Linked DNA regions of Macaca fascicularis. The protein of the gene in region 2 interacts with the protein of the main gene of each other region in a biochemical or structural test. Links are inferred from orthologs where the notes say so. Each region holds a gene or a part of one and is shown on either strand. Other genes may lie near its edges.

What was found. The genes of interacting proteins can lie anywhere in the genome.
Region 1: the proteins of PKP4 (region 2) and PDZD2 form a complex in vitro, tested with the Homo sapiens proteins (2 studies listed by BioGRID and IntAct, with this or other methods). The link is inferred for Macaca fascicularis from reciprocal best matches to the Homo sapiens genes PKP4 and PDZD2.

What each region holds. Positions count from the first base shown.
Region 1 is NC_088380.1:32,238,280-32,242,025, reverse strand, and holds the start of PDZD2 (PDZ domain-containing protein 2), read right to left. Parts: upstream 2,427-3,746; 5' UTR 2,393-2,426; coding exon 1,839-2,392; intron 1-1,838.
Region 2 is NC_088386.1:54,135,055-54,138,700, reverse strand, and holds part of PKP4 (plakophilin-4), read right to left. Parts: intron 2,231-3,646; coding exon 2,039-2,230; intron 1,858-2,038; coding exon 1,684-1,857; intron 1-1,683. UniProt on the Homo sapiens protein: Plays a role as a regulator of Rho activity during cytokinesis. May play a role in junctional plaques.

The DNA of each region.
Region 1 (3,746 bases), on a different chromosome or scaffold from region 2:
CAGGGCGTCTACTACATGCAGCCTGTGCACTGGTCTGCACCATAGTGCTCAGCAGGTTTCTCGCCCTTCTCCTGCTGGACGGACACTGACAGACTGACAGCAGCAAGGGAACGTCTTTCATCTAAGCATATCCTGGAACCTCAAAGCCTCCTCAGCCTCCAGCACAGCAAACCACAGGTATTCCAAAAATAAAATGATTGAAATGAATAGAGCAATTATCATGTTTCCTTAAATAGTAAACTGCCATAAAGTGCATGCAAAATCCATTTCAGTGATAGATTTAAAGTATAATTCAATATTTTTCCAGAAGCATATTAACTATGTCAAGGTAGGTGCATTTATATACTTTACATGGTTCTGATTCTTCCTCTCATAGCACCTGACAGCCCCCTACTCCTACACCTAACCCCCACAACACACACACACACTCACTCACTCACACCACTAGATGGTTATTATAGGAGCAGCAGCTCTGGACCCATCCTAATGGAAGAAGGAATTGATGAAGCCAGAACCACCACCTACAGCCAGGGGTGTGTTCTGAAACATTCTCTTCTGCCCCCACAAGCAGCACTCCCACTCCACACCTGCCAACCTGCACCTATCTGGCGGCCACCCAGAAGTCACAACCCACAAAAGCTGGCCCAGTAGAGATGCCAGGCCCCTAAAGCCCTCCAGTGTGGGAGACCCCACTAGAGAAGAGGCCCTGAAGGTCCAGGGGGTCTCTCTGCAAGGACAGATCAGGGCATCACTTACTGCAGCCACTCAGCAACCACTTCCAGTAGTTTCATTGCGATTTGTCAAGGCAAACATATCCACCTACCCTACCTTTGGTGGAGGCAAGAGGTTGGGCCAGCCAGCTGCAGAGGACAGACTCAGACTCAGCTCCATCCCCCAACACTGCCCAACCGCCAGTCCCAGGGCAGGTCTGGAGCTCTGGAATGCCCTCGTGCCTGCCATTCCAGTCTCTGCGACCAGCCCATGCCAGACCTTGTCCTCCTCCCACTCCAGTGTCCCTTATCAAGGTCTCTGCATAGATTTGGGCTGCCGAGGACAGCTTCTGGCAAATTCCTGCCAGGGGTCCTGGACCCTCCTGCTGCTCAATTCAGCCTTGCGCTTTCATGGATTTTCCAAATAGCGGGGACCACAGGCAGCTCAAAGACTTAAAACACAAACGCAAACCCGAGGGAGGGAGAGAGGAAGACAGGGAGGGGGAAACCAGGTTTTAGGAGAAACTCGACTTCAGAGAGAGGGCAGGATTTCCCTATCATTATGTTCCCCATCTCCCCGGCAGACGCCAATAACCGGCCCTAAGATGCCCTTGCTCTTTGCGCGCCCTCTGCACTCCCCCGCCCCGCGTCTAATGTCTCATCTGGGCAGAGAGGGGGCGAGAGATGAAACACGCCCGAGGTAGGATGGTCCCCAAGACATTACCTGAGGCCGGAGTACCTGAGTACCTCCGCTCCTGCCGGAAGAGGGGACCAGAAGACGGCCCAGGGATGGGGACCCGGGATGCGCGCCCGTGCAGGAGCTCCCGGCCCTGTCCTGGGTACAATGAGTCTCCGGGTGTCCCGCTGTCTCGGTCCCGCTCTGTCCAGCCCCCTCCCCTGCGCTGCGCTCTCCCCGTCCCCGGCCGGATGCTAGAGGAGTTTGCGCCGCCCAACGTGGGACCCCGGTTCGGCGTCCTCACTCCTCGCCCTGCTAGGGCTGGGATTCCCGCACCCAGATTTGTCGCTAAACTTTCCTGGGCACACACGGTCTCGGGGGTGCCCAGCCTCCCCCATCCCCTGCCCACCCGGAGCCGGCGCGTCCCGGCTGCAGCGGGACGGTCGCTTCACCTGCTCGCGGCTCGGCCGAGGCTCCCGCGGCTTCCTCGCACGTCCAGACCCAGGCGCCACCCGGCGGGTCCCCGCGCAGCTGCCGCCACCGCGGCCACCACCGGTGCCGCCGCCGCGCCTGCCCCGAGCTGCAAAGCCGCGGTTCGCCGGCAGCCGCGGGAGGCGCAATCCCGGTGCCCTGGGCTCGGCCTGCGGCTCCTCCGCTGCCTGCAGCCGCCGCCCCGCCGCGTCCCGCTGCCCTGGGCCGGCACGCACCGGCGCTGGAGTCCACTCCTCGCCGCGCTGCGCAAGGGATCCGCCGCGCCTCCGGGATGGGCGGGGATTCCCTCCCTCTGGTTGATTCGAGGGGCGGGAACTCCCTTCCCGGAGTGACAGGGACGGGGGGCGGGGATTCCCCTGCAGGAATAACAAGGTGGGCGGGGATTTCCCCGAGCGAGCCCCGTCGCGGGCAAGGAGTCTCTCTGGGTGAGCCAGGAGTCCTGGTGCGCCGGTTTCAGAAACCTGGGGATCTTGGGAGGAAGACATCCAGGGAGATGGCTGCTCCGAATCTCCATACAGGAGGGGCTTAGGGCGCCATCTAGGTGGAACAGAGCGAGCTAGGGGATGTGAAGTTGCCTCTGCATAGCATTTTACATAGCAAAAAGAAAAATGTCAATTGCCTTATCAAAGAATGGGGCGGAGAGGCCAGAGGAGATGGGAGAAGAGCTAACCACTCACCCGAAGCTACCCTTAGCCTCTGGTCCTTGGGATACCAAAGGTAATTTAGCACTGGTATGAGGATTTCGGGGAGAGGGGACCTCTTGGCACCTCAGAGCTGCTTAATCCCCCAGTTAAGCCCCTGGGGGAAATCCCATGGCCCTGGGGTGGTGGTTTTGGTCCCATGAGTACTAGCCACGAGCTCCTGCTGCGTGGACTTTGAGAGCTAATGCCAGCCGCCCTTGGCTGCCGTCCAGGTCACTCGAGGAACGGAGCCTCAGGCTTTTGGGATCCTTCATTCCGGTGGATTTTCAGGAAGGCCTTCAAATATTTTTGGTTCTTTTTTTTGTCATCCTTGTCATTCTGCCTACCACAGGGAGAGGATGGTAAGAACATAATAGGAAGACTGCACAGCTCTGCAAGTTAAGCTCTCTTAAGAGGAAAAAGCTGGTCTTTTTCAAGTGCTGGCAGATAAGAGTAAAAACGTACGAAAAATTACAAAACCGGGATAATGAATAGTTGAATAATGCTTTTGACATTTTCTGCAGAACAGTAATTGGAAATCTTTGCTTTCGGGGGGATGGGGATGGGACAGGGCAGGCCCCAGCTGCAGTTCTGCCCAGCAAGGCAATGACTCCGAAAAGCAGGCAGACATAAATCAACTGCACAGACCGGACAGAGCTGTCCCGCAACACCAGAGACCCGAGTGGTCCCAAGGCATTTGGAGATGGTAATGTCCTCAGGGGTTGGGGTGGAGAAGTTCTTGATTTCAGCTGTTCTTCAGCTTTTATAATTACCAGGCCACTGAGATCAATGCTTGCACAAATCCAAGCATCGTATATGACAAGCTGGGCACTCTCAGGCACTCAGAGCTTCTCTTCCTATGTGTAAATAGAGAAAACACCTATCCTGCAGGATTGCCAGAACTAGCAGTAACACAGTTGTTCAGCGCAGTACTTAGGAGGTGCTCAATGAAATGGTAACCATTGTCAATGAAAGGTATCATTGGGACACCACAAAAAATCCTTCTAGAAGGATCAAAGAGGGCTGGTGCTTTCTGTTTGTTTCACAGTCCCAGGCCCATCTTCCACCACTCTGTCCCTTGTTTTCTCAGCCTCGGTACCCAGCACATAGCTTGGGCCTACCTCCCTCAGCACCCATTAAAAGTTTGCTGAATCAATGAATATGCAAATAAATTTATCACTCAAACTG
Region 2 (3,646 bases):
GTGGCCACGATTATCTCATTTTCTTAGTGAAGGTCCAATATTTTAACTCACTATTGAAATCGCTTAGATATAATGTTTATATTTTAAATGAGCTTGCCATCTAACTCTCACTAAATGATCCCAGACACGAACTTCGAAACAACTCAAATCACATCGATTTCAATTATTGTCTTTTTTAGTGTCATCAAATAATCTTCTGGTCACAGAAGCTGAAGGTGAAGGCTGTTCTACAACATAAATGTTTATATAAATACCTATGTGCTGGGAGTATCTCACTAAATCCTCACAACCACCTTATAAGGCAGGTATTAATATTCGCTTTATTTTAGGGAGGTGGAAACTGTGGGCAGAGCCTCTAGGCTGCCAGACGGTAAGCAGAGTTGCCTGGATTCAGAGCCAGCACTTACACATGGAGTCACTGGCACTTTAACTAGGAGCCACAACAAAATCACCATACTGGCTTAGCACTAGACCATAGTTATCGGTCTATATTCAACATAGTGGCCACTTGCATGAAACAAACCATACCTAGGTTTATCAATTCTTTTCACTATCTTGAAAACACTATCACCAAAAGATTCTCATTTTGGGGGGTTAAGGTGGGATAAGTAGCCAAAAGCAAGCATTGTAATAACTCTACAAAATACACCTGTCAGGAAATTTCTAGAGGTTGAAAATGTCTTAGACAAGGACTGTCTGGGAAGTTGCTGGGGGACATTTAGAAAGTTCTGAGAACTTGCTTACAGTGGTAACAAGAGGAAACTGTCTTCAGTTTTTATAGTCATACATCTGCAAAGAGATGCAGAAACCTTAGACACAGGCATGTCTGTAACTACCTGAGAGGAACAGAGTGAGGTCCTCTATCCCTCCCCACAGCACTGCCCAACCTGTGTTCTGTTCTGCCACTCAAGATCTCTCACCTGTTTGTACTGCTGCACTGGCTCCCAAATGCAATCCCTGCTTCTAACTCTCCCTTCCTTGAATCCACCTTTTGCACTGCCATGTAAGTGGGTGAGCAGTGATGACATTAGCCCGTCTCTGTCACTCATTTGCCCAGACTCTTTCAGTAGCCCCTCCTGTGTGCAGGTTAGGACTCAGCTCCTGAAATTTGGCCTTCAGGCCTATCCATGATGCCTGGCTCCACACTGGGCCCCAGAGGGCAGCCAGTAGTCCTGGCCCACACTGTCTTCTCTGCACCGCGATACTTTCCTCCTATTGTCCCTGTTATCTGGATGGCTCCCTCTACACTGCAGCCTCAGCCTCTACTGGCTTACTTTCATTCATCCTTAGAGATTCTGCTGGGCAGCATCCCCTTCAGGAAATCTCCTCCATGTCCTCACTCCGCATTTTTCCTGACCTTCCCTTACACTGTGTGGCTGGGTTAGATGTCTTCTTTCAGGACCCCACAACACACACATCCTGTGGCTTCTACACTGTGCTGGCACCATCTATTTTTCTCACTAGCCTTCTGTTTCTCACAGTGAGGGACTTGTATTTATCTTTGGATCCCCAGAGCAACTGCATGTCTCCCTTTTTTCCCTTTACCCCCTTCACAGACAAACTAAGTAACTGTGACCATTTCATCATCAGGGCTGATCTGACTGAGGCAGAACTTATACATGTAACATTTCAAGTTAATTTGGAAAGATGGAAAGAAGTGTAGATACGCGGAAGTCATCCTACCTTCCAGTTGCCAGCAGAGAGGTTCTGGAGAGACCCGGCAGAGCCTTCCAAGGTGGCTGGGTTGGAACTTTCTGCTAGAAGAGTCAGATATGGTTTTACCACCGATGGGTGCCACAGCATCTCAACCCCTTTGGGGGACTTTGACAATCCTGGGATAGGACCAACTCCATCCCACTGAAAGACAAATAGCACACGTTAAATGGAGGCAGAATGAACATGATCTTCAATACTTGAAAACATTCACCTTTGTGGGACTCAGCTATAGCTATGCAGAAAATTTATTTTCTTGCCAAATATGTGATTCCTCACTCCCAGAAAAATGAAACGTGAGTCTCATATCAGATAAAATGCTAACTTGATCTTCTTGCGGAGTCCTCTTTTTCTTTTTCTTCTTCTTCCCCCAGCAGCTTGGCTCAGAGTCTTTGCTGGGAGACTCTTTTCCTAGTAAGTCATCCAATTCGTTCAGTCCCAGTAACCGGGCCTGGGGCACCTCCAGCTCTAGCCGATAGGACAGGTTCCTCAGGGTGCACACGCAGTTCTCCACTGTCTGAAACCCAGCATGGCATATAATTAAAAACAACTCAGCACATTAGAGCAAAACACTTCTGTACTGAACACTGCAGACAGGAAATAAATGGGAAATATGAAAGAACTACTTTTTATTTTTGGGAACCTGAAACAATCTGAAGAGGGAATTATGATTCTAGAGTGTTTGTGGAATACCCAGATGACGGGATGCAGAGCCTTTCTCAGTCCTGCTGAGGATCTGACTTCATGCCGACTGCAATGCATGAGGCTCCGGCCCAGTGTTTCTCCTCAGGGCTGCTGCCGTGCAGGCTGCACCCAAGACACCTGAGCCTCACTTCTCACTACTGCAGATCCTTGGCATGACAACAGATGCCCCAACTCCCTCCCTGGGGACAACCATATCCCCAAGTTCCATGTCTGCCTCCTTCTCAATCTCCCAACTCCACCCTTCTTTTGAGCCATGTTCAGAGGTGTCTTTCCCTGTTGACATTTGCCTTCTGCACACGGTCTTTTGTTCCCTAAAAGACTGTTATCACACCTCTGATTGGGAGGCCAACTGTCATTTAACTGAGTGCCTAAAACCAAGTTCAGCATTTGCCTATCTAGCAAGCTTCCCTTTCCAACTTGCTTACTCCTCTCAATTTCATCTGCAGATCTCCTGGTTCAATGAGGCTCAAACAAAAAGTGTTCCCTTGTATTCCTCTCTCTTTTCCCAGGCACTTATCATCCTTTTTCCTCTCAGGCTCACCCTTACAATCCAACACCTTCCAAAGGCCTCTCCTAGTCCAGTCCATCCTGACACCAAGTATCTGGCTCGCTTTGGAAGTCCTGACACTTTCAGTCTCTCTTTCCTGTACTTCCCACTTTCCTCGGTCCCCAGGAAGATCCTGGATGGTCGTCACAGCTGACAAATGATGAGCAGAACGCCCTGCACTCGGACACAGGAGGGAGAGGGTAAGGGGCTCATGCTGGGGACAGACCAACCACAGGGCAGCAGCAGGAGTGGGTGTAGAGAGGTGCAGCAACACTTAGTGCCGGGGGTGGGGACTGTGGACTGCACTGCAGCCAAGAGGGCAGAGAGTTTGGGGGGATTACAGTGCCTCAACCAGGAACTTTTATTCAGTAGATACTCAAGTACTGATGGCTCTGATTCTAGTGGGGATGCAGAATTGGAGGAAATAGCAGCATGGGCACCACCCTGAGAATGAGCCTAGGAGAACCAGAGAGAAAGCCTTTACCACACCAAGCCACTCTGTTCTCACGGTTCTCAGGATATTTTCTTAAGTTGCCACGTCCTTGCTCCTATAATTTTGGAGACTTGCCCTTTGATCTGGAGAGTGGCCTCCTGAGGAGGACAGGCTCTACAGGTCAGAAAGAACCAATGGCATGCAAATAGTGGCACCAGGCACCATGGCAACCTGCCACCATGCCCTCC